Sus scrofa: one gene and its partner. The main gene of each other region encodes a partner of the protein of the gene in region 2 in a complex. Links are inferred from orthologs where the notes say so. Each region holds a gene or a part of one and is shown on either strand. Other genes may lie near its edges.

The links.
Region 1: the proteins of KEAP1 (region 2) and NFE2L2 are in contact, whole or in part, in a crystal structure (PDB 3WN7), measured with the Mus musculus proteins. The link is inferred for Sus scrofa from reciprocal best matches to the Homo sapiens genes KEAP1 and NFE2L2. Residues at the interface, in NP_001103775.1 of Mus musculus: Tyr334, Ser363, Gly364, Arg380, Asn382, Pro384, Asp385, Gly386, Asn387, Asn414, Arg415, Ser431, Gly433, Cys434, His436, Ile461, Phe478, Gly480, Arg483, Ser508, Gly509, Tyr525, Gln530, Ser555, Ala556, Tyr572, Phe577, Ser602, Gly603; in NP_035032.1 of Mus musculus: Leu19, Ile22, Leu23, Arg25, Gln26, Asp27, Ile28, Asp29, Leu30, Gly31, Val32, Val36, Phe37, Phe39.

What each region holds. Positions count from the first base shown.
Region 1 is NC_010457.5:82,974,106-82,977,916, reverse strand, and holds part of NFE2L2 (nuclear factor erythroid 2-related factor 2), read left to right. Parts: coding exon 1-228; intron 229-754; coding exon 755-844; intron 845-1,707; coding exon 1,708-1,899; intron 1,900-2,556; coding exon 2,557-3,786; 3' UTR 3,787-3,811.
Region 2 is NC_010444.4:69,286,682-69,291,161, forward strand, and holds the start of KEAP1 (kelch-like ECH-associated protein 1), read right to left. Parts: upstream 2,829-4,480; 5' UTR 2,718-2,828; intron 2,712-2,717; exon of another isoform or gene 2,582-2,711; intron 1,066-2,581; 5' UTR 1,019-1,065; coding exon 380-1,018; intron 1-379. UniProt on the Homo sapiens protein: Substrate-specific adapter of a BCR (BTB-CUL3-RBX1) E3 ubiquitin ligase complex that regulates the response to oxidative stress by targeting NFE2L2/NRF2 for ubiquitination.

The DNA of each region.
Region 1 (3,811 bases), on a different chromosome or scaffold from region 2:
GACCTTGGAGTAAGTCGAGAAGTATTTGACTTCAGTCAACGACGGAAGGAGCATGAGCTGGAAAAACAGAGAAAACTTGAGAAGGAAAGACAAGAACAACTCCAAAAGGAGCAAGAGAAAGCCTTTTTCGCTCAGTTACAACTAGATGAAGAGACAGGCGAATTCCTCCCAATTCAGCCAGCACAACACATCCCGTCAGAAACCAGTGGATCTGCCGACTATTCCCAGGTACAGGGTACTTGGTTCTTGGGAAGGTGCATGGCAGGGTTTAAAGAACAAATAGCGACTCAGGAGTTAAAACATCTGAATTTGAGTTCCAGCTTTGCCTTTTACTGTTAACAACCTTAATAAGTCAACTTCCCAACCTTGGCCTCCTGATGAAGTTCAAGCCTTGACTGACCTACCTCAGAGTATAAGGATTAGGACATAAATTACATGAAGAGAGATTTATAAACTGTAAAAACATCACGTAATTTGAACATTTGAGATATTGAAACATTTAATCAACACAGTATATGAATTAATTGCCATTATCCTACTTTATCTACAGATGAGCAATCGGAGCTCAAAGAGGTTAAATGACCTGCCCAGAAATTGGGGGAGCCAAGATTTGAAACCAAATAGTCTGGTTTGATTGTCTGCTCTTTATTAAAATGACTTTTGCAATAAGAGAAATGTCTGATTAACTAGACTGTAAACATTGTATGAACACTGAACAATTTTTTCTTCCTGTATATCTTTCCCTTTTATGCAGGTAGCCCACATTCCCAAACCAGATGCTTTGTATTTTGTTGACTGCATGCAGCTTTTGGCAGAGACATTCCCATTTGTAGATGACAATGAGGTATTAACATTTGGTTAACAGCAAATCTTCACACCTTATATATCCTATATTGATCCCTTTGATATGTCTTCATGAATGAAAAACAGTATTTTAGGAGCAAATTTTATCATGGAAACTTTGGCCTATAGGTAACTTTACAATTGGGGAAAAAACAAAAACAAAAACCACATAGTACAAAAAACGTTTACTCCTGCATAGCCAGAAGCATGGATCAGCAGAAACATTTGTTATAGTACTTAAAAATAAATTCCCATGTGTAAAAAGCAAGCTTACCAGGTAGTAAACCAAGACTTGTTCAATTAAGTTTTAATAAATTTATTGTTTAAACACTATACTAGGTATTACATAGAAAAATACACATTAAATTCTAAAGACTGTTCTTTTTTGAAGTTTATCTTCAGTGTACAGGATAAAGCCATTAAGCTAGTAAAATGAGTAAATCTGGAGTCAGTTGGACAAGGAAAAAAATGTGTTTCATTATCTAGAAATAGAAGTCACCATTATTAGGGAGTTCCCTTTGTGGCTTAGTGGTTTAAGAACCTGATATAATCTCCATGGGGATGTGGGTTTGGTCCCTGGCCTTGGCCAGTGGGTTAAGGATTTTGCCTTGCTGCAACAGTGTAGGTGTCAGATGTGGCTGGGATCCTGTGTTGCTGTGGCTATGTAGGCTGGCAGCAGTGGCTCCACTTTGACCCCTAGTCTGGGAACTTCCATATGCTGCAGGTGTGGCCATAAAATGGTAAAATAAAACAGTCACCATTATTAGTAGATAAATATCGAACTGTAGCCTATTCCAGTTTAAGATGGGATACCCATTTTGCTGGGTGGCAGATTCATGTAGATAAATGCCTTCTCAATTTTAGGTTTCTTCGGCTACATTTCAATCACTTGTTCCTGATATTCCCAGTCACGTCGAAAGCCCAGTCTTCATTGCTCCTAACCAGGCTCAGTCCCCTGAAACTCTTGTCAGTCAGTTAGCCACTACTGAGGTAGACGACATGCAACAGGATATTGAGCAAGTTTGGGAGGAGCTATTATCCATTCCAGAATTACAGGTAACTAAGATCTAACATAATAAATACCAAAGATGCTATTTTATATTTAGTCCCTTCAGTAATCCCAGTTATTTATATACTGCCTACTTAAATGAAGGATTAGAGTGAGCTTTTAGTCCTGAGAGCTGCCTATGCTCACTTCAGTGAACTTTTGTTAGTTCAATGGACTGGTATCTTGAGGACAAATAAAGTTACAGACCTGAAGTCTGGGAGTTCCTGTTGTGGCTCAGCAGTAACGAACCCAAAAGGTATCCATGAGAATGTGGGTTCAATCCCTGGCCATGACCAGTGGGTTAAGGATCCGATGTTTCCATGAACTGTGGTGTAGGTCGCAGTCGAGGCTCAGATCCCATGTAGCTGTAGCTGTGGCATAGGCTGGCAGCTGCAGCTCCAGTTGGACCCCTAGCCTGGGAACTTCCATGTGCCACAGGTGAGGCCCTAAAAAAGCAAAAGTAATTAATTAACCTGAAGTCTGATCTGGGAACTCTGAAAATACATATGCTTAGGCACAAACATCTGTTGGAAATGGGAATTATTTCTGAATTACAGAGAAGTTTGGAGACAATATAGGTGGGGGGTTTTCCATTGGGTATGGATTATCAGCTATTAAAAATATTTAACCTTGATTTACGTAGTGTAAACTTCTTTTCCACACAGTGTCTTAATATTCAAAATGACAACCTTGCTGAGACTAGCACGGTTCCAAGTCCAGAAACCAAACCGACAGAAATTGACAACTATCATTTCTATTCACCAAATCCCTCACTGGAAAAAGAAGTAGGTAACTGCAGTCCACATTTTCTCAGCGCTTTCGAGGATTCCTTCAGCAGCATCCTCTCCACAGAAGACTCAAGCCAGATGACAGTGAACTCATTAAATTCATACGCAACAGGAAACACAGATTTTGGTGATGAATTTTATTCTGCTTTCATAGCAGAGCCCAGTACCAGCAACAGCATGCCCTCCTCTGCTACTTTAAGCCAGTCACTGTCTGAACTTCTGTATGGGCCCATTGATCTCTCTGATCTATCTCTTTGTAAAGCCTTCAACCAAGACCACCGTGAAAGCACAACAGCAGAATTCAATGATTCTGACTCTGGCATTTCACTAAACCCAAGTCCCAGCATGGCATCACCAGAACACTCAGTGGAATCTTCTATCTATGGAGACACACTGCTTGGCTTCAGTGATTCTGAAATGGAAGAGTTAGATAGTGCCCCTGGAAGCGTTAAACAAAATAGTCCTAAAACACAGCCTGTACAACCTTCTGGGGATACAGTCCAACCCCTGTCACCACCTCAGGGTAATAGTGCTCCAGTGTGTGATGCCCAGTCTGAAAACACACCAAAGAAAGAAGTGCCTATAAGTCCCGGTCATCGAAAAACCCCATTCACAAAAGACAAACATTCAAGCCGCTTGGAGGCTCATCTCACAAGAGATGAGCTAAGGGCAAAAGCTCTGCATATCCCATTCCCTGTAGAAAAAATTATTAACCTCCCAGTTGATGACTTCAATGAAATGATGTCCAAGGAGCAATTCAATGAGGCTCAGCTTGCATTAATTCGAGATATACGTAGGAGGGGTAAGAATAAAGTGGCTGCTCAAAATTGCAGAAAAAGAAAACTGGAAAACATAGTGGAACTGGAGCAAGATTTAGATCATTTAAAAGATGAAAAAGAAAAATTGCTCAAAGAAAAAGGAGAAAACGACAAAAGTCTCCATCTACTGAAAAAACAACTCAGCACCTTGTACCTTGAAGTCTTCAGTATGTTACGTGATGAAGATGGAAAGCCTTACTCTCCAAGTGAGTACTCCCTGCAGCAAACAAGAGATGGCAATGTATTCCTTGTTCCCAAAAGTAAGAAGCCAGATGTGAAGAAAAACTAGATTTGGGCATATCTGACCTTTTCTG
Region 2 (4,480 bases):
GGACCAAAGAAAACATGTCTAAGGGTCACACTTGCGGTCTACAGCACATCATGGGTGTTCAATAAATATTTGCTGACGGCCTGAAATGTCGGGCCCTACTCAGTGCACCCCAGTGTGGAAATGCCAACGTACTCACTGCACCCTGTCCCCACCTTTGACCCCAGAGAAACCAGGAGCCCAGGGACCTATGAAGGCCTCACTTTCTTGAGCTGTTCCCCAGAGTTGCCCAAGATGTGTAGAATAAGAATTCAGAACCCCATTTTTCTCCAGCTCCTTGCCTTGACCTTTCACATCTCAAAAAGAAATGAGCTCCCATCTGTCCTTGGTTCTTCAGACACTGCTCCCAAGCCCTGGATCCATGTCAATTGCCCTCACTCACCTCCCCAAAGTGCATGTAGATGTACTCTCGGGCACGCTGGTGTAGCTCGGCACAGCCAATCTGCTCGGCGAAGTTGGCAATGCCAATGGCATTGCTGGGGTCCAGCTGCTGCACCAGGAAGTCGCTGCAGGCACGGACCACACTGTCAATCTGGTACATGACAGCACCATTCATGACATGGAGCACACACTTCTCACCCATGGAGATGGAGGCCGTGTAAGCGAACTCGATGAGGCGCTCCATGACCTTAGGGTGGATCCCCTCAATGGACACTACCTCCATGCCCTGCTCCCGCAGCCCGTTGGTGAACATAGCCTTGAAGACAGGGCTGGATGAAGCCAGCACCACCTTGTGGGCCATGAACTGGGCAGCTGGTGCATCCTCGTACTTGACCTGCAGCGTAACATCGCATAGCTGTTGGCTGAGCCGCAGTTCATTCATGATGCCAAAGGCTTGCTTGGTGTGGTCCTCCAGCGTGTAGCTAAAGGTGCGGTTGCCGTGCTGCGAGGGGGTCACCTCAGCCTTGCACTCCGTGGAGGCGTACATCACCGTGTCCCCTGCCCCTTCGGGGCGCTGTGACCTCAGGGGCAGAAATTGGGTGTGTGCCCCAGCCCCACTAGGCCTGGGTTCCGGTTGCATGGGGTTCCAGATGACAAGGGACAACACCACCACTGGCACTCAGAGGCCTGGAGGAGGGAGAGCACAGGGCTGCGGGCAGGGCCTGGGGCCAAGCCTTTTCTAAAATAAAGCAACTCCTAGACCAGTTTTCCTTCCCAAGCCCAGGTGAAGCAGTGTCCATCTGTGCTAACTGCCCAATGGCCTCACCAGCCCAAGGGTCCACCTTATATCATAGGTCAGATGATGTCCCTCCCCTGCCAGAATCCCCCCCACACTGCCCCCCGCCAAGCCCTGTGGCACAGAGTAAAACCAAACTCTTCAATGGCTGGCAAAGCCCTTCACAATCAGCTCCTGTCCACCTGTCCCCTTTGCTCATTCTGTTCCAGTTATCTGATGGTCCTTCCCTTCCTAGGGCATATCCATCTCCTTCCTTCATTCACCTCACCAACATTTATTGAGCATCTACTGTGGACCACTACCAGGCACAGTTCTAGACACCAGGGACACAGCAGTGAGTAAGACTGACATACACTGTGCTCCCTTAGAGCTGACACTTGGGAATGGAGGAGCCATAAGTAAAATAAGCAAGACTTGAGCAAAAATTGAGGCTTTGAAGGAAATGACAGCACATTGTGATAGTGTGACTTGAGGGCAGTTACTTTAACTCAGGTATTCCAGGCCTCTGTTGGTGCTGAGACAAGAGGGGTGAACATATGAAGGAGGTGGGGGTGGGATGAGAGTTTTCTAGGCAGAGAGAGAGCAAGTGCAAAGGCTCAGAGGCAGAATGACAGGCAATCTGAAAAATCGGTAAGGAGTATAATGAGCATAATGACTATTGAAGGGTTTCCAAGAAACCTGTGGAGACTCGACAGCCAGGGCAGGAGCTGTGTTTTGAAAAGTCCTTCAGGGAGGAGGGAATCTGCAAGAGGCTCCCCAAGTTTCTCTAACTCATCTTTCCCTGGGCTCAACTCAGTCACCTCCTCCCTGCTTTATTTCCATCACAGCACTTGTCAAGAATTGAAATGAGCTCCTTTGCTTCCTCCTTGAAGGATGGCCCATCCGTCTGGCCCTGAGCCCCCAGGTTTCTGAGGACAGGTAGCCCTGTGTAGGTCAGGGCTGTGCCCATCCTCTCCTGTGCCTCTCTGCCTGGGATCTGGCACCGTGCAGGGGTCAATGAGCTATGGCTGGCTGACTGCCCACTCCAGTGTGCCTGCCAGATCACCCTCCTCCACCGGGCCATGGCCGCCTCTCCCCAGCTGAGGCCCAGGCCGGCCTCTTGGTCATGGGCCAATCGGCCAACGGTGCCCCCTGGGCCCTGGGCACTCCCCCGCCACCCCCATGAAGCGGTAAGTGGGAGACTGCGCATGTCCTGCCTGAGCTGCCAAGGCCTGGAAAAGGGAGGAAGTGACCCCGCCGCCGCCTCTCCACTGCCAGCCCCAGGGCGAAGACCAAGCCCCCCAACGTCCCGGAATCCCCCGGCCTTGGTCGGAGCGGCGCTCCCTGGGCCCTTGGCTCGGTTTGCGTCGCTCTCGGGCCACCCCGCGAGTTGCGCCGTCCAACAAAAGGCTCCGACTCGAACCGCACCCTTCTGGCCTCCGCGGAGCCGCGGGAACCCCGAGGCGACCGGCCCGCAACGCGCAGTTCTCCGGCCCCCAGGCACGGCCGCAGGGCACTCACGGCCCACGGTACCCGCCGCCCGGGCGCAGGCCGCCTCACTCACCCCGCCATGGCCGCTCTCGGGCTCCGCCTCCGTCGCCCAGGCCCAGGCGCCTCCATCGCAGCGTGCAGGGGGGAGGTGCGGAACGCGCGCAGGTCACCATGACTAAGCAGAGCCGGGCGCCGGCCGTGTCAGAATAAAAGTCCCGGCGGCCCCCGGCCTCCTCGAGCGGCGGGGACAGCGGAGGGGCCGCTCCCCACCCCACCCCGCCCACGCTAGCTGTCGCCCAGCTGCGCAGCCTCAGCGCGGCGACCACAGCGGTCTTTGCGACGGGGCCAATGACCGCAGCGCTCGGCGCTCCCAAACTCGTGGTAGGAGCCGCAGAGAATCAGAGCCCCAGGTTCGAGGCCCAGCCCGTCCCCGCACCAGGGATCAGTGGGCATCCCTCACCACCGCCGACCTGCCGCCGCGCTCACCTGGGTCGTCGCGTAGCCTCTGCCGCTCTCCCTACGAGGTGGGGAAGCCTGGGCTCCGCGGCGGCTCTGGGGCACCGTGGTGCCACCCGCTCACCGAGCTTCCGGGAAGCCCTAAGGGCCTCGGCCCGGCCGGGGGCGGCTCTCGACTAATTTTCCTTGTGAGAGGCCCGCGGGCGCTTCCGCCGTCGCGGGGGGGCCTTGGTTCTGGGGTGGCTCAGCCTTCGGGGTCGCGGCCGTCGAGTGGGGGGGCAGCCTCAGGACGCCCGGGAAGGAGGCGGGGAGAGGGCGGAGAGGGCGCGGCGGGGAAGGAGTCTCGATTCCCCGCCCTTCCCGCAGGTGCCTCGGCGCCCGTGGGCATAGAGCTGGGCATCGGGCGAGGGATCACCGCGAAGCCTATCTGGCCGGTACCCCCCTCGCAGTCCCCTCCATCCGCCTAGTTTTGTCGATTTCTGTGCGTGTCTGCTGTCCACGACCTGCTCTTCTTTGTCCCTTTAACTTCACAGGGCGCGGGCCTCACATTAAGGCAGCGCAGGATCCAGTTAGAATTGTCTACCCACTTGAATTTTCATTGTCTTTATTTTTTAGTTATCGCCAATCTGAAAGAGCGTGAAGCTCTCGGGAAGAGATACGAACTCCAGCTCTGCCACTCTAGCTCTGTGCGGGTGGGCCTGTAGCTTAATTAACCTCTCCAGGCTTCAGTTTCCTCGCTATAAGAATGTTAACAATAAAAGCACCTACCTGCTAGGTTATCTGGAATACTAAATAAGAACACTTGCGCCCAATAAAATATGGATTTTTATTCTTCATGGCAAGTGATACTGATTTACCACTTATGCTGTCTGTGATATAAAGGTAACTTCAATAAATGCATTAAAAATTTTTTTAAGAGTACATCTATATGAAAACTTAAGTGAGAAGTTCCTGTCCTGGCTCAGCGGAACCGAATCTGACTAGCACCCATGAGGACGCAGGTTCGATCCCTGGCCTTGGTCAGTGGGTTGCAGATCCTGGGTTGTCTTGAGCTGTGGTGTAGGTCACAGATGCCACTCAGATCTGACATTGCTGTGGCTGTGGTGTAGGCCAGCGGCTACAGCTCCAATTCCACCTGTAGCCTGGGAACCCCCATATGCCATGGGTGCGGCCCTAAAAAGCGAAAAAAGAAAGGAAGGAAGGAAGAGAGAGAGAGAAAGAGAGAGAGAAGAAAGAAAGAAAGAAAGAAAGAAAGAAGGAAAGAAAGAAAAGAAAGAAAGAAAGAAAAAGAAAAAGGAAAGAAAGAGAAAGAAAGAAAGAAAGAAAAAGAAAACAGAAAACTAAGTGAATACAGGGAAACGCTAGGCGGTACAGATATTG